Linked DNA regions of Rhinolophus ferrumequinum. The protein of the gene in region 1 purifies or fractionates together with the protein of each later gene. This does not show direct contact. Links are inferred from orthologs where the notes say so. Each region holds a gene or a part of one and is shown in the gene's direction. Other genes may lie near its edges. The genes, in order: ASIC1 and PICK1.

Region 1 (15,118 bases):
GACACACAGATGGCAGATGAAAAGCAGCTGGAGATTCTGCAGGACAAAGCCAACTTCCGCAGCTTCAAGCCCAAGCCCTTTAACATGCGCGAGTTCTACGACCGTGCAGGACACGACATTCGAGACATGCTGCTCTCCTGCCAATTCCGGGGGGAGGTCTGCAGCGCAGAAGACTTCAAGGTGGTGAGTCCCCTGGTGTGGGGTGTGAGTCAGCCCAGCCTCCAGAAGAGGAGGAAACTAGGAGCAGGTGGCCCTCTCGTCCTGCTGGCTACTCTGGGAGAGGAAACTGTGTGTCCCTGGGGCTCTCTTCTGGCAGGAGGGGACTTTGTTCAGCATAGGGGTGCATTTGCTCTGTGTGAGAGCGGGAGCCTCAGCCTTGTGTCCATGATGGCAAGAAAGAGAGCCCATAGTATGAAAGAGAGAGAGAGAGAGAGAGAGAAAGAGAGAGAGAGAGAGAGAGAGAAAGAGAGAGAGAGAGAGAGAGAGAGAGAGAGACCGCCTGGCACGGCCCCAACCCCATCAAGCTACCTTCTGGGCCACAGGTGTCAGACCTGGGGGTGGTGGTGGGTAAGTGGCAGACTTGTTACTCAAATGAGATCTGAGGACCATCACCTGGGAGCTTGAAAGAAATGCAGACGTCACCACTCCACCTACTGAATCAGAATCTGCATTTTAACAAATCTCTAGGTGATTCAAATTAAAGTTTGAGAAGCACTGTGAAATATGAGAAGGGACGCTTTCTCTTAAATAGCTAGACAGGTGATTCTCTGTGCCGCACGCGCACACACATACACTGTCCAGTTGGGTTACCCCCTTGCCAGCAAGAGCCACAGAGCCAGGATCTGAGGAAGGAGAAGGATCTGGGGTGCACAATCTTGACTGAACTGGAGGCTCCCTTTACTTCTTAAAATGGAGATGCCCCACAGACACCACCCCCACAGATGGGGCTGTCTCAAAGCCAGAACCTCAGAAAGGGTTAGGGAAGCTGACTGGCACCTCATGCTCCAGGTGATTCTGGGCAAATCATACAGGTTCCTGAGGGGTTAGAATCACACAGAGGCTACAAAGGGACCAGAGGACCTGGAGCCATGTATAAAAAATAATACCAAATGAGAGGACAATGCTCGTAACTCTTCAGAATGCTTTCTAGCCTCCCTTTCAATCCCCTGGATAAATAGCCATGCTGTCTCTATTTTACAAATACACTGACTGAGACACAGAGAGGAGAAAGAGTTGCCCTGAGCTCACATAACCAGTTAGTGACAGATTCAGGATTAGAACATGTCTCGTTAAGTCCCAATGCAGTGTGCTCTTTTCATTAATACTGCTGACCCTGGAGTCATCGTGTCCCCTTCCAATTCTGGCTATTGCTCTTTGAAAACCCCGTCTCCCCTAGGACCTCCTTGCTCTCCATGCTTGCCCTCAATTCCCCACTCTCAGAGCCTCCCTTTTCTCCCTGCCCATTTTCTCCCCTACTTGCGTGCTTCCTCCTAGCATACGGGAGCATGAACTGTATTTGTTTGTGTAGAAAGGTTGGAGCCATGGTCATGCATGTTTTTTCCTACTCAGTTTACATAAATAAGACTTCCTAATCTTTTTAAGTCCTGCTATGTGGACCAGTTTCATGGGCCTTTGTCAAATCTACCAGACAAAGGTTACATGAACACACGTCTTGCTGAGCCAAGCTGATGGGGAACTTAGTGTGATGCAAGGACCACTTTCTTCCCGTTTTTCCTTCCTCAAAACAGGAGAGTCCTGGATTCCCCAGAACCTGAGACCAAAGGGTTCCCAGACTCACCAGCTGTGCTCCCACGAGTAGTAGAACTGTAGGTAAAGGTGGCACTGAAAGCCAGAGCCCTCCTCTCCAACCTACCCAACGTACAAGCAGAAGGAGCCACCAAGAAAGACAGAGAAAACTTATGAACTTGGTTTGTAGTGTTTGATGGTTTGTAGTGTTTGGAGAAGGGAAGGAATTGCTTGGCTCAAGCTGGGAAGGTGCTAAAGTATAAAATGGGGATGTAGTTCGTCCATAGAAAATGTTCAGTTGCTCCATTTGTCCCTCGTGTCCAGAAAGATTCCAAGTGGTGATGCGAAGATTCCAAGTGGTTCATGGAAATGGAGATACTGAAATGTGACTGACTGGTCTGTGTTGTCTGAGGGGACAATTCTAAGCAGTTAGATGGAAATATGATTGGTTCAGAAAGTTCTGGAGCAAATCTGAGTTCTTCCTCTTGCTGGGGTAAAAGATATACAGGCTAGGAACCTACCGGCCCACACTGGCACTTCTTGGTTATGGGTTGGCAGAGAAGACAGGTTTTTGCTGTGTCTGAGCCCATGTCAAACACCTGACCCCAAATCTGGCTGGAACCAAACGTCTCTGCCCCTCCTTCTACCCTCTCTGATTGACCAGACCCTTTCCATGTCAGGAACTCTACCACTTCTGCCCTTAGGGATGTTCCTACACGCATGGATGGGAGTTTGGCTGTGAGTCCACGTCTGACATCTCCCTAGTGGAAAAGAAGGGCTCTGGCACGCCCCTCCAGCTCCCTGGTCCTACGGGGTGCAGACACCCCGTGGCTGATGCTCCCTCCACCTTCTCTCTCCTCTCCTGGGTCTCCATCCTTGCCATCCTCTGCTACACCAAAAGGTGTGTGTCTAGCCCCTGGACAGATGTGGCACTGACAGAAAACATCTGTCTATCTGGTCAGAGCTTAGGGGAGACCATCTTGGCACTTTCTGCCACCTCATGAGCAGAGGTTCTTAACTGGGGGTCAAAGCCCTGTCTCAGAGTGTTTGCAAAATACAGTGTGCACAGGCACGTGGGAAGTCTTACACAGGTTTCCAAGGGCAACCCTCTTCCAACCTGTGAGAGGTTGTATGGGAGGGTGCTTTGAAGGTGTGTGTGAGGTTGTGTGTGTGCTTCTGGAGGGGACATTGGAATGGTACACTCTGGTCTGTCACAGACCCAACCCTCCTGGTGGGGGTCTGCAGTGACAAGCACCCCCCGATGTGCTTCTGAGTCCAGCTCAACTTCAAGGGTAGTCTGGTGGTCAAAGGTGTTTGGTGGGTGCATCCCCCAGCTGTGGCTAAGTCAGCCTGCGAGAGTGGGGGTGAATAGGGGGAAATAGGCTAAATCTGGGAGGAATTGGTTGAAAACTTTGCAACTGAAGAGGCAGAGGGCAATGGGGAGAGCATCCCCCCAGCACCCCAGTTGGTGAGGCCTCAGAGCTTTCTCCTGAACTACCAAAAGAGCAACCAGAGACCTACACAGAAGGCCCCGTCCTCCCTGGCCACCGCTTTTCCTTCCTGGTGGGGAAACAGGGTCCAAGGCTCCACTCTCCCCCCCCACCCCGCACCTCAAGGCCAGTCAGTCCAAGGCAGGGCAGAGGTTCCATGAAGGGGCCCCCCGGGGGTGCAGCTGTCTGCTGGTGTCTTGTGGGGTTTGGAGGGACTGAGCACAGTTGCAGCTGGTGTCAGCCTCCAGCTGCACCTTATCTGTCCCTGGCAGTGGCAGTGCCAATGTGGCTGGAATGCTGAAAGGCACCGAGGGGAGGGGGCTGGCAGATGGTTGCCCAGTCTGCCCTATGCCACCTCCTCCTCCAGCTGACACCCAGAGCTTCTGCCTGGGGGAGAGAGAAGCAGATATTCATTTCTGGACCCTGGAAGAGAAGAAAGGGGAGGGCAGAGACTGGGAATCCTGAGGATGGGTGTGCAGTGGGGCTAGTATTCTCCCTCGGAAGGGTGTGGAACTGGGGAACCAGGATGGGGGGGACAGGAATCCCTGAGGGGCCCATAGGAGTCCCCCAGGACCCCCAGAGGAGAGGTGGGATGAGGGGTGGATACCGAAATCCCTCTGAGGTTTTGGGGGACAGGAATCTTCTGGAGCGTCTAGGGCGGCGAGATGCTGATATAAGAGGCGGGTGTAGGTGGGTTGTTCTGGGACCCAGACAGGGAGGGAGAGGTCATCTGAAGACAAGCAGAGCCTGGGATGGCATGTCCCCGAGAGAGCCAGGACTAGCAGGAAGCTTGCTTATCCCCAGCGTTAGCTCTGCCCCTTATCCATACCCCTCACACCCATACACCCCACCATAGCAGCCCAGAGCAGGAGTCACTGAGGAGGGCCCAACATTACTACCTGGGTCTGTTCCCTCCAGCTAGGTAGGGAGTAAGGGGACTGTTGAGGGCAAAGGCTGCCTGGACTGCCACACAGAGAGGAAGGGGGGCACGGGCAACCCCACCCAGAGGCCCAGGAGTCCTCCTGGGTGCAGTGGGGAGGGAGTAGGGATGCCGAAAGGGGAACATGCACAGATTGCTGAGGGAAAGGAGAGCCTGCCGTGAGAGGTTAAGTTCGGAGGAGGGGCACTCCTGCCCTGGGGGTTCCTGGATACCTCCTCCAGCCTCGTTCCCATCCTTCCCTTCTCTCTCTCGCTGAGAAGAGCCTGATGTTGGAGGGAGGATACTGAAGTAGAGCCAGTAGCAAGAATCCAGAGGACCCGAGGGTGGGCTCTCTCTTTCCTACACACACACACCCCTTTGGGTAACAGTTTCCTCTTTCATCTCCTTGCCCTCTTCCTCCCCTGCCATTTCTGACTCCACCCCTCTCCCAGACTGCAGTCAGCTAAGAGGCTACTCTAACTTAATTGATCTCCTGGCTGTTGGCTAAAGTAATAGGGAATTGATGTAAGTAACTAAGTGCCTCTGGGGACAGAGCCGGAAGTGGAGGGGTGGGCAGGAGGAACACCTCCTTGCCTTGGGCCTTTCTCCTGCCCTGGCCTGTGGGGAACTGGAAGGTATGGCCCTTTGCATCTGGTTTGTGTCCAGGAAGCAGAGGAGAGGCTTGCAAAGAGGGCAAGAGGTTCTGCTGTGGGTGAGGGTTGCTTCTGAGCATGCTTTGATTTTTGTGGAAGGCAGTTTGACTTCTGGGGGAGGGGGGAGGAAAGGTGTCTTTTAGGAAGGAGGAGCTGGGGTTAGGCCTGTCAAGCTCCACTTGATTCATTCCAGTCACAAACAGAACCCCTTCTAAGCGCCAGGCACATGCTGGGTGCCAGAGCGGGTGGTGAACAGACACACCCTGTCCCTGCCTTCAGAGAGCTTAGAGTGAGGGCAGAGCTGAGAGGGTGGGTGGTGCTAACAAAAGCCTTTGGAGCAAGGAGTATGGTGCCAGGGCTGAGAGGACTCTCGACATCTGAGTAGAGTCCCTGCAATCTCCCCAGCCAGCTCAGCTATTCAGAAAGTCCAGTTTTGTAGAACGTGTGGTGTGTCCCTCACCCCAGCCTTCCCCAGCGGATGATCAGCCGAGTCCTTTTCAGCGAGGGTCATTGCCTGCCTTTGGCCAGGCCCCCCGACACAAGCCTTCCCTCACTATGTGTTTGAGGTAGCCCCTCCGGGAGCCTCTTTCGACCCTCTGGCTGAGAACCTTCCAGTCAGGACCCCTGCATAGGGATTCTGGGAGGCAAAACTGGGGAGAACGCTGCAAGAATGAGAAGTGGTGCCTAGCTTAGGTGGAGGATGAGGCTGGGTGTTGGGACTCCTGGGTTCTATTTTGGACATAGTTCCATCTGCTCCATTTCAGAGCTTGTAGGCCCAATTTCCTGTGAAGAAAGGGGGCTCTAAGTGGATTGTTAAATTATTATTTGCCAAGGGGCAGCCCCTGCTTCAGCCTCAGGGACTGGCTGAGCCCATCCCGGCCCACGTGTAGGATGGATGTGCCGTCCTGGCTGTCCAGGACACATGGATCAGACATCTTCCTCACAGAGAAATTTAAAAATGAACCTGAAACTGCTGTGTATTCCTTAAGAACTCTGTCCCCTCCCCCCCCCGCCCCCAGCCTTTCCAAGACCATTCCCAAGGGAGAGGGAGGGGATGTTGTGATTTTTTTGAGCTCTTATAGTTCTTGGAAAGAAAACCCTTTCCCACCCCAACCCCGTCTCATTTGCACCCCCTGGATGTGGCTGACAGTCCTGGGGACCTGGGAGGTTGGGCTGCGTAGAGTGTGTGTGTGTGTATGTGTGTCTAATTGGTGTGTCGCATCATCGTGTCAGGCTGAGAATGTCCCTAGGGGAGAGACTGCTGCAGTGGCTTTGACCATGGACAGCAGCCAACTCAGACTCCGTCGTGACACACTCACTGCATGTGTGCCCCACGTGTGCAAGCACACATGTGCACCTGTGTGCCCATCTGAGTGGGAAAATGTGGGTGCAGACTAGGGTGTGAAGTGGACGTGTGTGACGTGCGCATGGGCACGCAGCCTGCTTTGTGTGGCTGTGGGAGGGAGCCTGTGTGCGGGGAACCTCTGGTCGCATGCAGAGCACATAGCAGCGAAATCAATCATCTCTCTCAGGGGCGCGCTTTGCAATTTACAAATTCCCTTTACTTTAGCTCATGTGATCCTCATAATTCTGGGAGGCAGGAAGACTTTAATATCTTCATTTGAAACATGAGGAAACTGAGTCTCAGAGGTATTAGGTGACTTGTCTGAGGTTACACAGTCAGTAAATGACAGGGTGGGACCTTGACTTCAGATCTTCGACGTTCAGGTTCTTTGTGCATGACTATAGGAGCGAGAGCGTGGCGTGTGGTGGAGAAAGCTCCAGGCTCCCCCACTGCCTGTGCTCTGTAAAGAAGCAGTGTGGTGAGGCAGGAAGGGAAAGAAAGCGTGCAAAGGAGAAGGAATCCCAGCTTCAGGTTGAGGACACCAAGTCTTTTGACTCCTCTCCCTTTTCACTGCACCATTTGGACATGTCCCAACCTTAGATGGAACCACCTCCGGCTTTCCTCAGGGTGGCTCCAGGGCTCTACCAGAGGAAGTCACACAACAGGCCAGCTTGGAATCACATTGCGTGTATGACCAACATCCTTAACCGGGTCTGCAGGGCTGCCTGGCAACCCCACTGTGTTTTCCTGGTCAACTTGCTCTCCCCAATGATTATTGCAAACTTCTCCACTCTTCTCAAATAGGCACCCTTCCAGCCCTCTTCTCACCTTCAGCAGATAACCTTGCCTCCTACTTCACAGGGAAGATAGCAGCCTCGAGAACATCTCCCCTTCCTCTGGGAAGCAGTCCCCAGAGGGGAACATCCATCTTCTCTAGGCTGAAATCTCAACCTATTCTTTCCATCTGATCTCCTTCTATCTTTCCAGGAATTTCACCCTAAAGATTCTGCCTCTCTCTCTCCTCTCCTGTCAGTTTCTCCCTTTCGGGTGGATCCTTCCCATTGACATTGAAACATGCTTAAGATTCTCCCATCTTTATACAGCTGTAATGACAGCTAACATTTATTGAGCACTTACTGTGTATCAGGCTTTAGATTAAGATAGAAACAAAATTACAAATGTCTAAACTCCACAGCACACCCCAGCCCCAACTCTCACCCTCTCTCTCCACTTCCTTTCACAGACAAAATTCTTGAAATGTATATTCCACTGTATATTCCTCGAAATGTATATATTCCCGTCTTCCCAGTTTTCATCTTTAACTCATTCTCTAAGCCACTCGAGACGGCATGCTTCCCTACCCCCAGCACGCCACCAAAATGGTTCTCGCTAAGGCCACTAGTGACCCCTGTGTTGCCAAATCTTGCAAACTTTTTTTTTGTCCTTGATCTCCCAATAATATTCAGAATGGTTGACCACCACCTCTTTTCTGGACCATTCCTCTCCTGACAATCATACTCTTCTGATTTTCTTTCTTTGTCTAGCCACTCCTCTGTCTCTTTGCCAGTTCATTCTATTCTACTTGGCCATGAAATGTTGGCAATACTCAAGTTTCAATCCGAAGCCTTCTTCATCTTTTAAATTGTGAGGGTATGATTTAATGGTATAACTTGATTAATTTTTCATTAGTATATTTTTATATTAGTGTATCTTATAATTTAACGTTTTACATATTACATTGGTATGTATTTACATTGCTATAAAAGCGTAAAAGATTTCCAGCACCCCAGAAATTTCCTGCAGACCCTTTCTGAGTCAATACGACTGCACGAGAGTTCGTCATTATTCTGACTTTTGTCAGTCTAGATACGTTTGACCTGTTCTTGAACTTCCTAGACTATATGTATCCTCCATATAGTATATTCATTTTTGTGTCTGTCTTTTTGCTTATGTCTGTGAGATGCAATCTCACTGTTGTGTGCTGCAGTAGTTAGTTCTTTTTCAGCACTGTGTAGTATCTCATGTAAATATACCACAATTTATTTACCCATTCTACTCTTGCTAGACATTTGGGTTGTTACTAGTTTGGGGCTGTTATAAATAAAGCTACTATGAATGTTCTTGTCCACGTCATACACAGGGGCCCCCTGTGTATGCTTGGGGGTCTGTGTGTGTTGCCTGATACTTTCCACCTCTCCCCATTACTGTGAAAAGTTTGGATCTGTCTACTGGGACGAACTGAGGTAGGACCGAATGTTAGACGACGGAGGCGGAAGTTAGGGTACGTGTTGCGTTGGTGTGTTTGTTGCCCCGCAAGAGGGCTGCGTGTCTGTGTGTAGTGACGAGTAGATGTGTGGTGTGGGTCTTTGCGGTGGTGTGAGGGAGAAGCGTCCAGCCGTGCCAGATCTGCTGTCCTCTGAAGCTGTTCTGTGTGTGCAGGCCCTTCTCTCTGGTGAGGCCCCAGACTGGAAGCTGCCCCTGCCTTGTGTCTTCCTTCTGGAAGTCCAATCGACTTCCCCTGCCAGGAAGTCTGGAGGACAGGGACAGTGCCCTCTAGTGGGTGTGGAATGCATGGGCAGCTGCAGCTGCCTCAGTCCAAGACTCAACCTCGGCTGGCCCCACCCCCAATCCGCGTGGGGAACTCACGTCTGAAACACATCCTGAGGCCATGCAAAGCCCTCTGACAGCTGAGGTCTGGTAGGCAGGATGAAAATGTACGTGGCACAGAAAACAGAAAAGGAACCTATGAATTCATGCAGGAGAAGCCTGAGAACAACAGCTGCAGGTGAGGGTCTCTCTTCACCTCTGCAGTGACTTATCTCTGGTTGCCCTAGGTGGCCCTGGTCTTTCTCGGTTCCTGTTTCTCCTCGTGGTCTTTGGGTCCTGCTCTTTCATTCTCACGGTCCCTGTCCTCAAGGCGCTACTGGTCACTACTCCTGCCTGAAGGACCTTGAGCAGAACTGGACCTGTTAGTCTGTTCCCTGGGTGGGCTCTACCTGTGCCCTACGGGGTCACGGAAGTCTTCTTGGAAGAGGGAATGTGTGAGTAGGGTCTTGAAAAATGAGTAGAAGTTCTCCAGATGGAGTCCAGGGAAGGCATGACACTATGGATAAGCCTCGTGTGTCTGCGGAATGGGAGAAGGGAATGGTGTCCGGACATTGGACTGGAATGAAGGCGAGGTGAGACTGGAAGGGAAGTTACAAAGGCCTGTGGGATGGGGGCTGAATTTTCCCAAGAGGCACTGGGCAGTGAGAAAAGCTCTTTCAACAGGAGAATGGGAAGCATTACATGTCATGGACTGAAGGTGGGGAGAAGCGGCAGGGAGGTTCCGGAGGTTGGGGAGACCAATTGAAAGGCTGTTTAGGCAGACGAGGAGGCCCGTCTGAGGGCAATGGCATAAGGATGGAGAGGGGCCAGATCTCAAAGGCTGCTCTTCTCTGGGGCCTCTGTGTCCTTGGCAGCAAAGTTGGGGCCAAAGGTCCCACATCAGTCAGTTCTGCTAGAACCTGGCACCCTGCCTTCCATTCCCTACACACCCCAGGGTCTCTGCAGGCAAATGGAGAAGGGAAGATATATGGGAGCAGGGAGGGACGGGAGAGAAGGAGGGGGGAAATGGGACCAGGGGCTGTGGGATGGTTACAGAGCGGAAAGCCAAAGTAGACTGGTCTGACCCCCACTGGACCCGCAGAGGAAGGGTTAACATGCTTCACCTCCCTCCCTCCCTTTCTCTCCTCCCCTCAGGTCACCTTCTAGGCCCTGGAGACTTTGCTGGTGGCTCAAGTTCCTCAACCAGTGGCCCTGAGTAATCAGAGCCCACAGAGGGGCCAGGGGTCTGGGGGCAGGGAATGATAAATTGAGGGTAAGGGACGCCTCAGAGCCTGAGGGGCTGGGATGTGTGTGAGGCTGAGGATTTGGGGGCTCCCCGGGTTGGTTCCCAACATTCTCCACCTGACCCAGGACCCTGTCTCTGCTCTGATCTCAGTTTCTTCCACCCACCAGAACAGAATTCCTTGAACTCCTCTCCTGGACTGAGGTGGGGGGTGGGCAAGCTGGAAGGCGGAGCGGTAATCTGCCAAGAAGCTTTTCAGCTGCAAGAGATAGGGGTCCTTCCCCCCAGTGCCGGGAACAGAGCATAAGTGAGTCTGTGGTCAGTGAGAGACCTGTGCTAATGGAACCTGGGCTGCCCCCCAAGCCACAGAAGGGAGTGGGGGAGGGGATAGTGACCTAAATGAAGCCCTGCATGGGGGGAGGGTGAAGTAAAGATGGGTCAGGGGAGTGTGGAGAATAGAAATGGGGTCAGGGACTGGCTAGAGGTGAATTGGAAGTCCAGGGACTTACTGCAGGGGAATTAGGGGTTCAGGAAGTAACTGAGAGTAAACTGGGGTCAGGACAGTGATTAGAAGGAAACTGAAAATCAAAGGAATAATTAGAGGGGAACTGGGGTCTAAGGGGATATTGGGAGAATTGGAGGGTCACTGAAATAATTGGGGGAATCATGAGGCGGGGGAATGAGAGAGGAGTCAGAGGTCTGAGACAGTGCCCAGAGTGTGGGGGCTCAGATACCTCAGAGGAGGAGCAAAGGACTTTGCTGGGTCCCACCTGGGGAGGTGGGTACCAAGAATCCCTAGGCTTTTCTAGGGGTTCCACTCTGTCTTCAACCCTCTCCTTCCTGCTGGAGCTGGAGACAGGAAAGGGGCTCCGGCCCCCCTCCTCCCCATCAGCCTCCCTTTCCCACTGCCATCAATTATTCATCGGCCCAGACACCGCCCTCCCTGCAGGGCAGGCTGTCCTCCTCTCCAGGCCCCGCCCCGCCCTGCCCCGCCTCCGCCACACTGCCACAGAGGCCCTGGTGAGGAAGGACACAGCCAGCCGGGTGGGTGGCAGAGACCTGGCAGAAGGGTTGGGTGGCTGGCCCTGCTGGAGCCTGCTGGGATCACCTCTCCTTCCCTTTCTCCTGCCAATCCCCTGGTGCCAGGAGGCCCCTGGAGAAGATGCCCATCCATATCTTCTGCTCTGTGTCATTCTCCTCTGGAAAGGAGGCCCCAGGGCCCTTGGGAGATGTTTGGGGTCCCCACCAGCAGCAGCAGCGGGAAAACTCAGAAACGGAAGAGGAAGAAGAAGAGAAAGAAAAGGAGGCAGCGAGGAAGGAGGCCAGAGAGGGGGATTTGCCCATGGACTTGGTGGCCTTTGCCAGCAGCTGCACCCTTCATGGTGCCAACCACGTCTTCGTGGAGGGGGGTCCAGGGCCGAGGCAGGCCCTGTGGGCAGTGGCCTTTGTCCTGGCACTGGGTGCCTTCCTGTGTCAGGTAGGAGACCGCGTTGCCTATTACCTCAGCTACCCGCACGTGACTCTGCTAGACGAGGTGGCCACCACAGAGCTGGCCTTCCCAGCGGTCACCTTCTGCAACACCAATGCCGTGCGGCTGTCCCAGCTCAGCTACCCCGACTTGCTCTACCTGGCCCCCATGCTGGGGCTGGACGAAAGTGATGACCCCGGGGTGCCCCTCGCCCCCCCAGGGCCCGAGGCCTTCTCTGGGGAGCCCTTTAACCTGCACCGCTTCTATAATCGTTCCTGCCACCGGCTGGAAGATATGCTGCTCTATTGCTCCTACCGCGGGGGGCCCTGCGGCCCTCATAACTTCTCGGTGGTGAGTGGGGGCCCATGCCTGGCACGGCACCCCCAGAATGTCTGCCATGGCTCACCCTGACCGTGACTTCCTGGGTCTGGGGCTGGTGGGTCCTGCCCCTCCCCCAACTCATCTGGACCACTCACCCTCTGTGACATGCCTCAGAGAGGCCAGGGCTTACCTAGGAGCCCCAGGGTCTGGAGCTGGGCTGCTATTCCTGGGTCTGAACCCGTCTTGCTCTTCTTTTTAGCATTTTGAAATACATCTGTACTAGCTGGTAATTAGTTGCTCCCCTGGTGTCTCCCTGAATACTCTCTAGCATGTCCAGACCTCCCTGTGATCCAGGCAGGCCCTGGACCTTGCTCCACCTCTGAGGTCAGCCTCTGATCTGATGGTGGGTGCCTGTGCCAGCCTTAACAGTTTTGACCATCATCCCTGGACTGGAGCTGGGGCAGGTGCCACCTGGTCTCTGGAGGTACAGGAGAAGAGTGTGGACGGGAGGTAGAGGGGTGCGGTCAGTTCCCATCTCCACCCCGCCACACCCCTGGTCAGCAGCTCCTACAGCAGGGACGTCATTGCATCCTCACTGAGGGACCACGTGGCACCCCATCATCTCCCTGGTTCAGCTTCCGGTCTGTCTGGCTTAATTCCTCTCCTGCCCTCTCCAGGTGCCAGATGTCAGGCCTTCCTTCCCCACGCACCTGTCCTTCAGGACTGACTTAAGACAGACAGGGAACCTGGAGGTTTTGGCCACTGGACCTCAGACAGGCTAGGAGATACAGGAAGAGGAAAGGATCAACCTGGCTTCCTCTGTATCTAAGGGTAGAGCAGACACTTCTCAGCCAGAACCACGAGATGGCAGCAGCAGTCCAGCAGCCAGCAACACAGTCCTCTGAGCCAGGGCAAGGCTGGAGCTCCGAGCATGCCTCAGCCGCCTGGAATCCCTCACATGCCCAGATGGAGGGTAGGCAAGAATGTGTTTGTCCAGCCTGGAGCCTGTGGCTGAGTGCCACAAAACCCTGGTAGTGGGACTGGGGAGTTAGAGCCATTGGAGTTCTCTCTCTACCTCATCTCTGGACCTCACCCACAAAATGGGGGAGAGTGTGTTTTCTTTTCTGGAGGGGGGAGGAGGAGGCTGTTCTAGAAAGAGGGAAGGAAGCAAGGACTCTATTTCCTAGTAAACCCCACGCCCCCTGCTGCTCCAGTCTGGGCTGATACTCTATCTCTTTCTCTGGGTTGTGTCTCACCTTATGACCAGCTGTGTGGACTTGGTCGCCATCCCGCAGGAGTAAAACACACTCATCTCGCTTGCGGGAACCTGGAGACATTCAGGGAAGCTGTGGAGAAAGGGCCATAAAGAACTGGTTCACTCTTCTCTCTGTGGCGATAAAGGCTGCTCTGGGGCATGGGGTGGGGAGGCTGCCCCCAGGGTGGCGCTCTCTTCTGAGGCCCTGACAGGCCTGTGCAAGCATTGCCAAACATGCCATGCCCTGGGTGCTCAATACCAAACGACCAACTGCTGAGGGAAGAGGTGCTGGTGCTTGAGTGAACATAGTCCTTGGTATGGCAACTGGGTCCACTTTCAGGTTCTGGTGATAATGGGACACTGAAGGACAGTGATGGCTAGAGGCAACTAAAACGCTTAGCTTGGTTTGGAGGGGGGTCTTGGGCAGAACAGGATTTCAGATGCCTGGGGTAAAATCCAGGGGTATGGCAGTGATGGGATCCTGGTGATGGAGGTGTATATGTCAGGGTCCCAGCAGGAAAAAGATTGCAACTCAGTTCAACTGAAAAGAACTGAACAAAGGGACTGTTTACAGAACTGTGGGCAGAGTTAAGGAAACCAATAAGGGGGCCTGAGGCACCCACCAGTAGAGGGAAATTGTCACACATAGGTAGAAGGAGCACAAAATGGCGATGGGCTATGCAGGGAGCCCTCCCGGCAGGATTTGTCATCACAGAAGGTCTAAGGCACGGCCAGAACACTCTCAGAGGTGCACAGGGTGGGAGAGAAGAAGTGCCCTGACCTCTCTCTCCTTCTACCCTTTTATTCCTTACTAATCCCTCCCAGTGACCAAACCCAACTGGAAGCCTGTCTAGGTGGCAAAGGAGCACAGGAAATGCACCCCACCGGGATCAGCTTTCCAGCGCACACAGCAGGGCAGAGGATGGGTGGGAAGGAGGACAAATGAGAAAGGGCTGCACAGGTGCAATCAGTCACAATCCTAAAGGCTGTTGTGATTCCAGCAACTGGGGGGCGGCCTGGGACAGATCTTGGTGGGTAGGGGGTGCTGGCAGGCCTCTTAGGCTCTTCACTCTGCCCCTGCCAGGTCTTCACACGGTATGGAAAGTGCTACACGTTCAACTCAGGCCGAGATGGGCGTCCACGGCTGAAGACCATGAAGGGTGGAACGGGCAATGGGCTGGAGATCATGCTAGACATCCAGCAGGACGAGTACCTGCCTGTATGGGGGGAGACTGGTATGTCACCTCTCTCAGGGGACCATTCCCCAAGGCTCTGGGCCTCAGCCTCCACCAGGGGACTCCTGGGCTCCATCCACTGTAGGACCTGAGGCAGGGCTTGGGCTCTCCTCCTTCCCTCCCAGCATTTCACCATCTCCATCTCCGATTCTACCTGACTGCCACACTCACATATCTCTGGCTTCCCCTTCTTGGCTCAGTTACTCACCAAGGTAACCAGCCATCCCTTTCCATCCCTGGCCGCCCCTCGCTCTATAAATAACTCCTTCTCTTCTTGAGCTGCTTGCTGTCTGTCTGGTCTCAGGGGCCTTGGGGCAGAGAGAGATGGGGGAGAAGGGAGAAAAGGAGGGGGAGAAATGGAGAACCTCTGAGACAGTGAAAAAGAATTTGAAACAGCAAGACGCATAGCTGAAGCCAGGTAAGGAAAGAAGTGTGTAGGCTGCGGGGCTCGTCAGGGCAGCACGGGACTGGTGAACCCAGAAGGAAGCTGCGGATGGGCTGGGTCCCCAGTCCCAGTGTATGTTGTGCTTATTCCCAGGAGAGGCAGGATGTCCCCGGCTCTGAAGGAGGTTCGGGAGTCAGAAGCCCTCCCAACACACACCCCCCTCCTTCCCACAGACGAGACGTCCTTTGAAGCGGGCATCAAAGTGCAGATCCACAGTCAGGACGAACCGCCCTTCATCGACCAGCTGGGCTTTGGCGTGGCCCCAGGGTTCCAGACCTTTGTGGCCTGCCAGGAGCAGCGGGTGAGCAAACCACAGGAGGTGGTCCCAGGGTGGGGTGTTGAGGGCTCCAGATGGGGTGTGGGGAATCACCAATGGGAGGGACCAGTGATCGAGGGCCTGGATAGTGACCTG
Region 2 (14,886 bases), about 42 Mb from region 1:
GACCCCACCGAAGAGGCTGGCCTGGTGTCCCCACAGCAGGGACAGTGGCCCCCAGCAGTTATCAAAGGCAGGCAGGGACTCCTCCCTCAGCCGATGACTGGAAGGCGGGAAGGGGATCTCCCTGGGGCTGCAAACGTTCTGCCACTGCCGCTGACAAGTGGGGCCATCCGTCAGCCCTGAGCACAATGCGGTCATTAACCCCTGACCCTGGCCCCTTTTTAGCCACTTCCTTTGGAGGGCTCCCCTCCCCCACACGGACAAGGAAGGGGAAGATCTCTGTGAAGCCTCCCTCTTCAATGAGGGGCCCAGAAGCCATGTCACAGCTCTGTGGGCCCTTCCGAGACTCAAGGTCCCGGTTCTTGAGCTCCCATCCTCTGTGGCTGCCTCAGGGTCTGGGGGTGCCTCCCTCCCTCTGCCTCCCACAGAGGCACCCCTCAAGTCAGATTGGTGTGTATGGGGGAGGGGACAGAGACACAGACAGAGGCTTTGTGAGTGTCACTTTAGGTCAGAGATGGCTTTTCCATTTACACAGTGTATTCAAAGGGACATCATAGGCTAGTCCCATTTGTGAAATTCGATGCAAGAACCCCAAGTAACATACTAACAAAACAAAACCAGCAATGAATAAAAAGGGTATAGACATCATGACAGACTTGGGTTTATCCTAGAAATGTGTTTTTATATTAAAAAATCTATTAATGCCATTCATCACGGTAATAAATTATGGGAGGAAAGTCATAAGATCATCTCGGCTCTGGCAAGACATTATGATCAAACTGTTTTAGCAAATTTGGGATAGAAAGAAACTTCCTTAAACTAATCAAGATTATGTACAAACCCCAGCAGAAACACAGTTCCCAAAAGGGCAATGGACACACATTCCTTAAGAGCAGAGAAGACGAGTTGGCCCTCGTCCATGCATCTGTCCAGCATTATACCTGGGGTCCTAGCTGGGGCAGTAAGACATGAAACAACAACAACAAGGCATAGGGATTGGAGAGGAAGAAGCACACTGTTATTATTTGCAGATGATAACACTGTCTACACAGAAAATTCAGAAGATCTACAGAGACATGATTGGAACTATGAAAAATTTAGCAGAGATAGGATATGCCCATAGCAAATCAATATCAAAAATGAATTGCAGCTACATCATGTGACTGAACCTTGAAAATGTTATGCTCAGTGAAAGAAGTCAGTCACAAAATGCCACATATTAGGAGATTCCATTTATAGGAAATGTCTAGGATAGGCGAATCCATAGAGACAGAAAGCAGATTCATGGTTGCCAGGGGCTGGGGAGAAGGAGGGAATGGGAGGTGACTGCAAATGGGAGGTGTCCTTTCGGTGTGATGAAAATGTTCTGCAATTAGACTGTGGTGATGGTTGCGCATACAACCTTGTGAATACACTGAAAACCACTGAATTGCACACTTTAAAATGATGAATTTTAGGGTGCCAACTTTGGAAGAGGTATAGTGAGTCTCCTAATAAGAAAGTAAAAAAAAAAAAAGACAAAATCTTTAAAAAATTTTATGGTGTGTAAATTATATTTCAATAGAAATTGCATTTATAAACATCAGAGCAACAAAGTGTAATTTTTAAAAATCCTCCATTTACAATATTAACAAAAATTGAATCTAACAAAATATTTATAGAGGAAAGCATAAAACGTGACTGAGACACAGCCACTCCGGAAAATAGTTTGGCAGTTTCTTAAAAAATGAAACATATACTTACCATGTGACTCAACAACAGCACTTCTGGGCATTTGTTAGAAATAAAAAATTCATTTCCACACAAAAATATGTACACGATTGTGCATGGCAACTTTATCTGTAAGAGTCAAAAACTGGAAACCTAGAAGCCTGTCGGTTAGGACATGCAGAGTTTCATTCTGCAATGAAAAGGAACTATTGATACACGCAACAACCTGGATGGAGCTTGAGGGAACTGTGTGAAGGGAAAAAGCCTGTCTCCAAAAGTTACATGCTGTGTGGTTTGTTCGTGTCACCTTCTCAAAATGACAAAAGTCTAGAGATGGAGAACCGATTGGTGGTTGGAGGATTGGGGAGCAGAGAGGGAAGGGAGGTGGGTGTTTCTATCAATGAGTAGCGCGAGGTAGGACACTTCTGCATCTGACTGTGGTGGTGATTCTCTGAATCCGCACAGGTGATGAAACTGCATGGAACACAACGCGCGCACGAATTAATGCATGTAAAATGCCACCTTTAACCTGCGGATGGGACTGATGTCCATTTCCTGGTTTTGGTAAAGTACATGGTGATGTGAGATGTCACCACTGAGGGAAATGGGGTGAAGGGAACATGGACCCTCTCAGTACTGTTGTTATAACTTCCTGTCAATCTATAGTTATTTGGAAACGAAAGGTAAGACAAAAAATATTATTAGAAGACGTTAAAGAAGATCCCAAAGATTTGCTTCAAAATAATGAAGGCCGGGATGGGAGAATGGGCAGGAATGGACAGGGTTACGGCTGAAAATAGAGTGGGCATGAAGAACAATTGGTAAGGCTAGGTGTTGGGTAAAAGGAGCTGCATTCTAATTTTGTACACTCGAAATTTTCCTTAATAAAACATAGAAGAGAGACCTAAATAAAGGCAGAGAGAGAGTCATTAACTTGCATAGAGAGATTCAATGTCACAAAAATTCCCGAATTAATTTCTAGATTCAATTCAGTCCTGATCACCCCCCCCCCCACACACACACACACACAGGGTTTTGGTGGAGCTCGTCAGGATGATTCTGAAAGTAGCAAGAAAGGGCAAAGCACTAAGAATAGCCGAGGCTCCTGAAGAACGAGGGAGGGGCAGTGCCCTGCCAGATATCAGGGCTTATCCTAAAGCTGTAGGCAGTGAGCCAGTGTGGTATTCATTGGTGCGAGCTGGACAGCCGGACCGATGGGAGAAAACAGAGCCTGACACGTATGGATATTGAAGGTGAGGGTGAGGCAGGGCAGAGGGGAAAGAGGAAGAAGAAACAGTCACATCTGTGTCCCATGTAATTTCCTGTGAGGCTGGCTTGGCTCTGAGCATCCCAAGAGTCCGTTCCATACTTAGTGGAAGCGCAGGGCCAGCGATGCCCAGGGTCTTAGGTCTCTGGTCCCAGGCTCCTGGCAATGTAGCGTCCTGCCAGGCTTCCCAGCCCCGTGTCTGAACCACGGGCCCCCATGCTGGACCTGCTGATTCCTAATCTCTGGGGGTGCCCCAGCATCTGTATGGTTACTAAGGTCCCACTTGAGTTGGAGAACCCCTGACCTACAGAAAGAGAAAGAGGGAGAATGACAGAGAGTGAGAGTAAGAGCGGAAAGGGGACAGAAGGAATGAGAGAGCAAAGGGCCAGTCACTCCACAGACAGCGTGGCCGTGCCGCCAGGGGCAGGGAACAATCAGGCACTGTCCCTCTCCCTCCAACCCCCTGGGCTCCCACCAGCTTTCATCACTGACCTAACCCAGGGGGCAGAGCACTAGGCGAGGGGGAGGGGAGGTCAGGGGTCAGTCCATTATATGCCAAGTAAAGCCAGGAATAGAGCAGTTTTGGGGGTCGTTGGGGGGACTTCGGGCCCCATGGAAGCCCACATCCAACCTCTGGTCAGAGGCAGCCCAGGAGGCAGTTGAGAATAGAGGGGACAGCTGCCCAGTACCCCAAGGACAATGAGGTTCATGGCTCCATCAAAGCTGAAAGTGGGCTTCTGGAAGGATGCAAATGCTTCTGCGCAGTGCCCCTTCCCCTGGTCAGCCACTGCCGCCCAGGTGGGAGAAGCTTTCCTATCCCTAGCGGATCTGGCCCCACGGACACATCCACCCCAGGGCTGACCCACCCAGCCAGGCTCCCTGTTGCCTCCCAACCCCAGCTTCCCAGTCGAGCGGCCCTGTCCCTGCTAACTCCCCTTGCTGCAGACTCAGGGAGGGAGGGACAATGCCCCCCAGGTCAACCTGCTATGGTAGCCAGTGGGCTCCAGCCCACGCACAGATCCAGCTGCTCTGGCTCTTGTCTGCCAGTCTCCCGTGGCTCCCCAGTGCCAGGCCAAGTCCGGATTCTGACAGAGGGCCTCGCCACCACTGCCTAGTCTCTGGGCTCCCGCGCTCGGTGACATGGTTATTCGTTCACTCAATAGGAAGGCACTGACTATTCCTACAGGCCGGGTACATAGGGCCGCGACTTGCTGTGTGACTTTCGGCTGTCACTGCTCTTCACTGACTTCTGTCACATTCCTTTCCCCCAACCCCAACATCAAGGACTTTACTGCCTGGTAGAGAAAGGTGTGTGCCAACCAGGTACGCAAGCTTAGGGGTATGCTAGGTGTTAGCAATAGCGGTGTGACCTGAACAGGCCAGGATCCTGCCCCCAGGGAACTTGCAGTCTGGTGGGGAGACAGCCAAGCAGCTGATTAAGAAGCAAACAAATGCGTCATCCCAAACTGTGCTATGAGCCCAGCGGGGATGAATGGGGTCCTGACAGAGACGAGCCAGGTCTGTACTTGAGCTGGGTGCTCAGGAGGGCTTCCCTGACAAGGTAACATGTGAGTAGTGGTGAGGGTAAAGTGAGGGAGTCAGCATGCCTGGGGGAAGAACATTCCAGGCAGAGGGACCTGTAAGAGGAAAGGCCCAGAAGTGGAAATATTCCAGCCTGTTCCAGGAACAGCAAGAGGCCAGAGGCCCTTGAACAGAAAGTGAACAGGAAGGAAGAGTAGGCGACATGCTGGAGGAGCCAGGCCTCCATCTCTAGGTGAGGACCCAGGGTTTGTTCCACGTGTAATGGGAAGACTTTGGAGGGGGTCGAGCAGGGGAGTGCCATGGTCTGACTTAACTTTAAAACCAACACTTGGTCTCTTATGAGAGCCATTTTGCCGTGGAGACCACCGCTCAGAGAGGTCAAGTGACATTTCTGTGGTCACACAGCTGGTCTCAGCCAATGCTCTGTCCAGCCCACCACCAACTCCCCACAAGTCCACATTGGCACCCTTTCCCACTGGGCTCCCCTTTAGATTTGGGGCCTCGCCCAATGCACTGAAGTGGGAGGTGTTACCTAGTTTTAGGGACTGCTGTGTCCACTCATGTCAGGGTGGGACCTTGCTTTTCTTGTTCCCCGAAATGTCAGCCTAGACGTAGTAGGTATTAATACAATTTATCGAATGAATGAATGAATGAATGAATGAATGAATATATAGGTGAATGACTAACCTCACTTAAAAGGGCTGTGGTGAGGTTCGCATGAGACAATGAATGGAAGCACCTTGGCAAGGGGCCCAATGCACAGTAAATGCCCAGTAAGTGTTGGCTGCTGGTATTTGTGTCACTATCTGTTCGATTTTAAAACCCATGCCTTATGTATCTCAGCTGAACAGCACCCACTAACCCCTCGTTTCTTGCCCTTTACAGGAGTCTGCAAAGTCAGTGTGAGTCAGGCCCTGTGCTGGGGCCACAGCAGTGCTGAGGGTACGCATGTCCAACACAGCATGGCACACGTACAGCCAGCCTCATCCATCGCCTACAGGCTACAAAGCCTGAGCAGGGCTGGGCGGTGACAAGGACAGGAGTGGACAGGTGGGGGGAACTCTCCTGCCACTCTGGTGCCCCGGGGGTGTTTCTCCTGATGGCCACTGGGTGGCAGCACATCCCCAGGAATATTGGATTGGGGGGGCAAGCTTTTCCAGATTGAACCTGAGGTTTGGGAACTGAGGGGCGGAATCTTGCAGGGGACCCAGGCCCAAGAGAGATTGGGGTCACACAGCTTTCAGTGGTAGGGTTAGGCCAGGTGAGAGGTCACCCGGCTGCCTGGGTAGACTCAAAAGCGGAGCAGGGGAGAAGGAGGAGGCGCAATCTTGGACAGAGAGGGTCTGAGGACTAGTCCTGGCTCAGCCTCCTGGAAGTGGGTGGATGTCCTCGCCCCCATTTCAACCCTTGCAATCCTACCCATCTTGAAGCAGGTGCTCAAACCTCCCCTCTGAGGCCCTTGTTGACCCCTCTCACCTGTGACTCTGGCAGAAATAACGGTTCTCCCCAAGTTTTCACTTGGACTTAGTGACCTCATCACCCCTGTCACTGCTCCTACTGTCTGTTTCAGTCCCCCTCACCCCACCACAGTGACTTCCTGAGCACAGGGACTGTTCCTTGTAACCTCCACTGCCCGCACCACCTGTGCCGTCTGCCTGTGTCACCTGCCTTGGGTACACCTTCCTCAGGACTCAGCTGAGAGGTCGCATCCTCCAGGAAGCCTTCCCAGGCCTTTGGCTCCTCCTAATGTGAGGACTTTGGAGCAAGGATTCTTGGCACCAGAGGCCTCACCCTCAGGAGGAACAGGCCCACCGGCTGCACAGACACTGTACATCCTGAGCCTCTGAGACAGCCGTCCGCTGCAGTTAGCAACGAAATGGCCCATGGAGCTTTGTGAAAATCCTCCTTCCCCAGAGATGGATCCAATAGGTTTGCGACAGAGCCCAGGAATCTGCACGTAAGACGCTTCCCAGATGAGTCTGATGCAGGCGCCTGAGCATCCAATGGCCCTTTAGGTGTGTCCTACGCCCAGCCCTCTGAAGCAGTCAGGCAAAATGATTACAGTGAGGAATGACAATAAAAACCTCTGACATCTGTGCCAAGTGAATCGCTCACAAAGCACTTTCAGACTCGCTTTTCTCTTTTAGTTCCGTCTTTATAACTCCTATCTTGGGAGGCATCATCCCCATTCTGCACATACCTGAGGCTCAGAGGAAAAGGGCAATTGGCCCAACATCCCCCAGCTACAAATTAGCAGAGCTCGGATTTGGTCTGGGGTCGTCCTGGGGTGGCAGAGCTGCAGGCTATGTTAAAACTCCTAGGTTGGAGGTTGCTGTTTGCTGAAAACTGAAATTCCAAAATTCAGGACCTATACTTGGTGATTCCAGCCCCATGGGGGAAGCTCAGGCCACTGCCATTGTCCAGGTTCAGGCCCTCATCATCTCGTTCCCTCTCTGCCCATCCATGTCCTCTCCTCCAGGGCTGAGGGACCGTCCCATCTCATATAAAGCCACAGCTATTTCTATGCACTTCATCCACAGCCAGGTATTGTGCTCCAGGTGTGTGCAAGATGCAGAGAATGGCAAGACCTGCCCCCAGGCGCTTCCTGTCCAGCTGGGGATACAAGAATTGATTACTTTGGTGATGGAACATGGTACTCCAACTTTCTTTCCCCTCAAATAAATTCATGGTCCCAACCTCACCCCCTTAATTGGCTGGAACAGGTTCCATGCTCTGTGAGCTGACCCAGGAGACCCCGCTCCACTGACAAACATAAAGTGGGTCATAATACTTCACTCTAACAGGCGTTACAAAGCAATCTGATTTTCTTTTTCTTGTCACAGTGACACTTATTGATGGATTCTTAGCGTCCTATGGAAGGTGTGAATGCCAGGGAGTATAAAGTCCGGATAGACAGGGAGAAGCAGTTCACAATTTGTCAAGATATGAGCCCTAGGTCCTAATTTTAAAGGAGAAAAAGCTTCCCCAGACAAAATACAAGCATGTAATAGTTAATGGCTCAAAGAAGCCAGGCAGGATTTCCCAAGGCAATACAAAAGTAATTTTCAAGTGAACAATCTAAATAACAACTATTTTAGGAGCTCAGAAAAAGGGGCAGCTTTGTGAGCTGGGATCGTCTGGTAAAACTCCCCAGAAGAGGTGGATTAGATAGAGCTGGGTAGGAAGAGAGAGAAGATAAAGCAAACAAGAGGGGTCTGGGCATCTTGCCCTCACCTGAGAAGAGGGTCCTGAGTAGGTTGGGGTCAAGAGGGCGGAGTGAATCTGTGCCATGTGAATTCTTTACAAAGCACTCGCACCTGTTTCTCCTTTTTATCTTGACCTTCACAAGTACCTGTGGAGAGGATCACTGTCCCCGGTTTACAGATACCCAAAGCTCAGAGTCATGCAGTGACTTGCCCAAGATCCCCCAGCTACAAAATGGCAATGTCCGGGCTTGAGCTAGAGCTATTGTGTGGTGGGAGAGCCACAGCCCATGTGAAAGTATCTGGGTCTGGAGGCTGCTGCTTTTTAAAACCGAAACTCTGGCCTGCAAACAGGGTTTGGAGGTTCCAGCCCTAGCTCTGCCTAGGGCCACCTGTGACACAAGGGGAAGCTGTTTCCCTGAGCCTCAGGGTCCTTACCTGCAGAGTGGAGCTGACAATACTTGTTCTCCTCTCACAGGGCTGCGGTGAACTTTAAAATCCCATGGAAGTGATCTGAACTGCAAAGCAGTTCAGGGTACGTGGGACAGTTTTTGTTATTGTGGCATTCTGAACATCTGCTGTGACTCAGATTAACTCCCTAAGGAGGAGGTGGTGGGGATCGCATTAGGCTATGGGATATGCAGATAATCATTTTTGTGATTCTCTCCTTCCTCCAAAGCCCCCGGGGCAGCTAGGGAAGGAAGCTGGACAGGCCTGGGCCCATGCTCCCTGGACAAGATCGATGCCAAGGCTGTGGCTCTGTGAGCACCAACCCCCTTTAGGGAACCCGCTTTGCACAGTAGCAGTGGCTGCAGAGGCTGGCAGGGAGACGAGATTCGAACTCCTGGGCCGTGAAGCACTGATGGCATTTCCTGGCCCTCAGTGAGACCCCAGAGGAGCTGCTCCTGAGGGCTAACAAAGGACATGGGTTGAGGAATCTTTCACCAAATACCAGAGAAAGCATCCCTACCTCAATACTCTTAGATTGCATATGGGGAAAGCAGGCATGTAAAGAGGAGGTAACTTGTCCAATGTGTCGTTAATAGCAGATCTGTGAACATAGGTATGCAGGTGTTAAAAGGGCACTGGATTAGGTGTCAGAGTCTCAAAGTCAAGATCTGGATCTTGTACCAACTGCAGGTGGCTCCGGACAGAATCCCTTTCCCTCTCTGGCACTTAGTTTCCTGGTCTGCAAAAATGGGGTTACGCTGGCTCCGACATGTCATTCTATTAATGGTAATACCCTAGGACAGAGTGCGGAAAATGTGGAAGGGTTTGTAGGCCATTGGACTTCGCCGGAAGTTTCCCCACCCAGGATGCTTCCGTTGCCACGGCAACCACCGGGCCAGTGGTCCTCAGCTTCCCGCTGAGGAATCTGGGAAGAACCTTGCCCTTATGAATATGGCGGCAGCCACAGGACAAGGGGTGGGGTTGAGCGCTGTCAGACTGTCCAGACCTTTCCTCTGTTTCCGCTTTCTCATGCTAACGGCGAGCTTCCGTCAATACTTGTTCTCTTTCCTGGTTCTGGGAGTCCCGGGAGCCAGGGAGGGAAGAGTTGCTTGCAGGGACTGGGGTAAATACCCGGGGGGGAAGGCGGGACTTCCGTGTCCGGCCGGAAGTGACGCGACAGTCACGGCCGCCGACAGGTGGAACGGCAGGTGGGTACAGGTGCCAGCCTGGCTGGGACGCGGCTGTGGACCGACGCTTCCGGTGAGCGACAGAGGCAGCCTCCAAGTGCCTGAAGACCCGGGGGAGAGATCTGGGATCTGAACCCAGCGCCCTGGCCTGGAGTCCCCCCCTATTCCTAGTAAGAATCACCTAGCCACTCGACAGGGATTACCCACGGTCCAGAGGGGAGTGGGAGGGTCTGGATCGCCAGGGTTGGGGTTGACATCTTGGCACTTGGGTTCCCTAAATCCTATGCTCCTTTCTCTCCCGGATCCAGCTCCCTATTCCCCTGCGGAACTGGGCAGTTAGCCAGCCCACTTCAACTCTCCGAACCATGTTTGCAGATTTGGATTATGATATCGAAGAGGATAAACTGTGAGTATTTTGTTCCCCCAAGTCCCAAAAGTGTAGGCGCCCCAAGTTCCCCAGACCCCAGGCTTGCCAGTTGCACCGACCCTTGTTTTTCAGCTGTGGATTAGGTCTTGTAGTGTAGCAGAACCGACCCTTCCCTTCCAGGAGCTCACCATCTGTAGGGGACTGTGGACACATCAACAGATAACTACAATTCAGGATCATAGGGCCTTAATGGAGAATCACCTGGCTACAAGGAGAGCAGAGCAGATGCAGCCTATGTAGGGATGTTCAGGGAAGGCTTCACCGAGGAGGTGGCAATTGAGCCAGGTTTCAAAGAATGAATAGAAACGTCGTAAACATACTGTCCTCCCCACTGTAGACGATTGGTGGGACACGTTTTCAAAAATTAAGTTAATCTCATTAGAATATATTCTCCTTCAGAGCAAGGACTGGGTCCAATGCCTTTTTGTGTTCTCAGCACTTTATAAGGTGCTTGACCGCAAGTAGGTTGTTAGCAAATGTTTGTGAGAAAGTGAATGAATTAGAATATTTACCACAAAACATAAGTAAGTGCTAATTTATAGTAAAAATTGAGAGGTGATTGAGTAGGGCAATTGAGAGATAGGTGTTGGATAGTTTAGCAGGAGAAGATTTCCCAGAGGAGGTGGACGTAACATTCCATATGTGCCTGAGAAGGTGACAAGGACAGAGTCTGACTTAAACCTCAGAGGTAGAATGAAGTAAAGGAAGGGGGACCTATTTTTACGGAGTGCTTGATATGGGCTGGGTTGTTGGTAAGTGCCTTCTAGGCACTTCTTACAATAACTTTGATGAAGTAGCCATTTTTTCCATATGATTTTATGGATGAGGAGACTGAGCTGCAAAGAAGTTGACTTACCCAAGTCCCGTAGTTGATTAATGGCAGAGCTGGGAGGAGGGCCCACGTCTGTGTGACTCCAAGAGCTGTGCACATTCCAGCACAAAATGCTGTCTCTCTGGCCAAATGAGAAAGAGAAAAGGCTGTGCAGCATTTGGAGCCTCTTGGGGTTTTAGAGGGCCCGTCCCCTTCCCAATCCTCGCCAGTCATCCTTCCTCCGGGGGACTCAGCCTCTTGTGCTTCTCTTTCCAGTGGAATCCCTACCGTGCCCGGGAAGGTGACCCTGCAGAAGGATGCTCAGAACCTGATTGGGATCAGTATTGGAGGAGGGGCCCAGTACTGTCCCTGCCTCTACATTGTCCAGGTATTGGGTGCTTTGGAGGTGGGGGTGAGGTCCTGGAGAGAGCAAGCCACCTCCCTACTTGGCCATGACACAAGAGCTCCTTTCTCTACTCTGCAGAGCTGGCTCCTTTTCATTCTTGAGGTCTGACCTCCTAAGAGAGGGCTTCCTGACCACCCCTTCTCAGTAGGGCTGCCCTGGTTTTTCTTTGTTATTCCAGTATTTTCTTTTTCTTCTCGGTCCTTATCACCACCTGTAATCATGGGTTTGCTCTTTAGTTGTTTTATATCTAGCTGCTTTTTCAGATTCTTTGTGCCTGGGGCAGGATCCCAGGTTGCTTTTTTATCAGTACCTAGTATAATGCCTGACATAGACTAGGACTTCAAGAAAAATATCTTTAATGAATCAACAAACCACCAGCTTTTGGTACTAGCACAAGTGAAGTGTAGTGGAAAAACTAAAAGACTGAAATAATATTGGCCTGAGTTCAAATGTAAGCTTCCCTGCTTATTAGCAAGTTACTTACCCCTCCCTGGGCCTCAGTTTCCTCACCTGGAAAGTGGGGATATAAAATATGTAGATATGAGCATCTTTGGGTTGTTATGAAGATTAACAAAATGACATGACACAATGCCCGGTACTTAATAAGCACTCGTTAAATAGTAGCTGCTACTACTTTTATGGCAGTTGTTCACTTTCCCAGATGAACTGCCGGTGGTAGTGAACAATTTTGTGGTCCCTTGTAGAGGAAGCTGCACTGGTGATATTCTGTCAGCTGGGACTCAGGAGTAGAGACAGGCAGTGACCTTTCTGTAGCCTTGGAAGGAAGCTTGCCACCTTGGACATCCGAGGTGTGACAATTAAGTTCGTGAACTTGTTGCAGTGACGTTACTAACCTTCTTTGATATCAGAGGGATTATTTATTATGAATTTGCACCAACTGGACAGTAACCAAGTTTACTATTTGGAAGTGGTGGAAAGCCTGTGTGAAAAAGTTAGACAACCTGAACTTTTCACCAACAATTCATGGCTCTTGCATCACAACAATGCACTAGCTCACACGGCACTGTCTGTGAGGGAGTTTTTAGCCAGTAAACAAATAACTGTATTGGAACACCCTCCCTACTCACCTGATCTGGCCCCCAGTGACTTCTTTCTTTACCCGAAGATAAAGGAAATATTGAAAAGAAGACATTTTGATGACATTTAGGACCTCAAGGGTAATACGACGACAGCTCTGAAGTCCATTCCAGAAATAGAGTTCCAAAATTGCTTTGGAGGGTGGACTAGGCACTGGAGTCCATAGCTTCCCAAGGGGAGTACTTTGAAGGTGACGGTAGTGATATTCAGCAATGAGATATGTAGCACTTTTTATAGGATGAGTTCGTGAACTTAATTGTCTGACCTAGTATGCTCAGACTTGACCTGGTTTCTACCCTGTTCTGACCTGTTCTAACAGCTAAGTAGCTGTTGGTGGCAGATGGGAAATTTTGGTCTCTGAAGATCTTGCAAAGGAGTCGCTTCCAGGCCTCGAAGATGGAGATTCCTGGAACCTAGTCTTGGCTGCTCAGGGTGCTGCCTTCACGAGTGATTTGGCCTCTTCCAGCCCAGGAGGTGTCAGGGAGACCTCCCCCAGGCCTGGCCTCCTTGCCATGTTCCTGCTTAGCCTTGCCCTTCCAAAACCACTCTGCTTCTTCATACCACATCTTCCCAATGTAGTTATTTTGTCATTTTTGGCTAAATCAGAATCACTCAGCTCAGAACAGCATTGTTGGTCAAATCTATTAAAGAAATGACTTTGGAGGAGCAAACGCTCAGATGGATGTGTGAGGTTTGGTGTATTTGACATTAGAAAAGGAAAGCCTCATCAGTTTGCATTTACCTTCTGTCTTCCTTCTCTCCGCCTCCCTAAGAATGTGGGGCGATGCATTTTGTCTGCTCGGGCATCTCTACCCTGCTCTGGGTAGTGGCCAGGACAGAGCCGGATGTTGGTTGGGGTGGAGGGAAGGACTGTCTCCTGCCAGGTGTGTCTCAGTTCTCCCTTTCCTCCCCCACGCTGCCCTCCTTATGCACCCCCAGGTATTTGACAACACCCCGGCAGCCCTGGACGGCACTGTGGCAGCTGGCGATGAGATCACTGGTGTCAATGGCAGGTCAATCAAAGGAAAAACTAAGGTGGAGGTAGCGAAGATGATTCAGGAAGTGAAGGTAAGGACTGCGGGGGGTGAGGACCTTGAGTCAGGAAAGCCACTTCTGAGACCTCCCACCTGCCCGAGGCCCCAGCAGGCCTGAGGCTCCCCTCCACAGAGCGTGAGGGTCTGGCTCACTCCCCAGCCTCCCTCACTTTCTCCTGCTTTTGTTCAGTAGATATTAATTATGCTCCAGGCCTCGTGCTGAGCCTTGGCCAGAGAGTAGGCGCCAAGACTAAAAGGTCCCTGTCCTCAGGCTCTCAGGTAAACTGTCAGACTCGGAACCATGCCTCAGGGAGAGCCAGTGTATCTCCAGTTAGGCCTGGACCTGAAGCTAGAAGTCCAAGGTGAACTTACCTGGGTCATAGATACCTACTAGATGTCAGCTGAGCCATGCTGGGCCTTGGAGGGGGCGAGAAGGAAAGAGGAGCGCGTCTTGCCCATCCCTGTAGGAACTTCCAGTCCAGTGGGTCCCCCTGGACTCACAGACCCCCAGGAAGGCCTCTTGACTCTGGGGCAGCTCCCGGTACAGCTGCTGGTCTTCTGCTCTGTAAATCACAGTCACGCGCTACCTGTTCCCTGCCTCCCCACCCAGCGGCTCCAGGCCAAGGCCGCTCCCACATCATAGGTGGCATCCCGGCCCCTCATAGGCACAAGCGTGCAGCCGTTTTGTCATTTCCCAGAGATTTGCTGCTAGTAACTCTTGGGAAACCAATATAGTGAAGGAGTTGCAAAGTAGTATAATTTAAAAGTCTGAGAGTCAAGGGTCCCAGCGGGAAGTGGAGCCTGGCCAAGCGTTGTAGCGAACCTCAGCCCCTCCATCCAAATCTCGCCTCACTGCCGCTCCATCTTCTGTGTCTTGAAGACCTGATGCCACCAGCCCCTCTTTCCGGCCTTAGCCCAGGGCCAGCGCCTTCCCCGCCTTCTCCCCTTTACTATCCTGTTCCACCCCTGCGTCACCCCATCACTCTCCCTCCTGCCTTTAGGGCGCAGAGTCCAATCCCATAGTTTCTCCTGCTCCAGCCCCTTAGCCGTGGGACAGATGGGGGCCCAGGGCTCTGTTGTATAAAAGGAAACGATAGCATTCGTTTAGGGCCCAGACGCCACTCCACCTGGTCTGGGTTTTACTGGACCTGTTGGGTGGAGGAGCCCATCATGGAAAGGGGTGGGCAGTGTTTTTTATTCTGGTTCAGAACTGGGGTGCGCGCCCTTCTGGGTCCTCCCCGGGCCCCCTCACCTCGCTGCTCATCAGGACCCTCCCTGTCCTGCCTCGCGCCAGCCCCTGGCGTTTCCCTTACGGACAGGAGTTCCTCGTGGGTATGCACAGCCTTGACATTGACATAGGGATCTCCCCGCACTCCTGTTTGGGTGCCAAGCAGGGATATTGTCCCTGTTTCGCTGGTGCCCCGAGGCAGCTGAAGGGCTTTGCTTGTGGTCGCACAGCTGGACAGGCACCCAGGGCTGACCCCTGCTGTGGTGCCTCTTCCCTTCCCCCGTCAACTACTATCTGTGGGGGTCCCCAGCTCATGTGCTGCCTCCCGAGGGAGCCTCCTGCGTCCACCCCTGACTCTGACCACATCGGTCATTTTGATTTCCCTTCAGGACTCCATTTTGAGATCCTGTCTTGTATTCGAATGGATTCGGTCCCAAGTTAAAGGGTCTTAGGATTGCAAGGACAGAGTGACCGTAGTGGCCTCACGTGGTCAGGGAAGGCTTCTTGGGAGAAGCCGGCACCTGTC

The links.
Region 2: the proteins of ASIC1 (region 1) and PICK1 purify together in Homo sapiens (affinity purification with western blotting; 3 studies listed by BioGRID and IntAct, with this or other methods). This does not show direct contact. The link is inferred for Rhinolophus ferrumequinum from reciprocal best matches to the Homo sapiens genes ASIC1 and PICK1.

The regions. Positions count from the first base shown.
Region 1 is NC_046293.1:50,867,225-50,882,342, forward strand, and holds the start of ASIC1 (acid-sensing ion channel 1), read left to right. Parts: upstream 1-10,997; 5' UTR 10,998-11,144; coding exon 11,145-11,801; intron 11,802-13,027; exon of another isoform or gene 13,028-13,117; intron 13,118-14,110; coding exon 14,111-14,261; intron 14,262-14,879; coding exon 14,880-15,007; intron 15,008-15,118. UniProt on the Homo sapiens protein: Forms voltage-independent, pH-gated trimeric sodium channels that act as postsynaptic excitatory receptors in the nervous system, playing a crucial role in regulating synaptic plasticity, learning, and memory.
Region 2 is NC_046293.1:8,943,761-8,958,646, reverse strand, and holds the start of PICK1 (PRKCA-binding protein), read left to right. Parts: upstream 1-9,206; 5' UTR 9,207-9,429; exon of another isoform or gene 9,430-9,526; intron 9,527-9,664; 5' UTR 9,665-9,721; coding exon 9,722-9,762; intron 9,763-10,870; coding exon 10,871-10,982; intron 10,983-13,037; coding exon 13,038-13,166; intron 13,167-14,886. UniProt on the Homo sapiens protein: Probable adapter protein that bind to and organize the subcellular localization of a variety of membrane proteins containing some PDZ recognition sequence.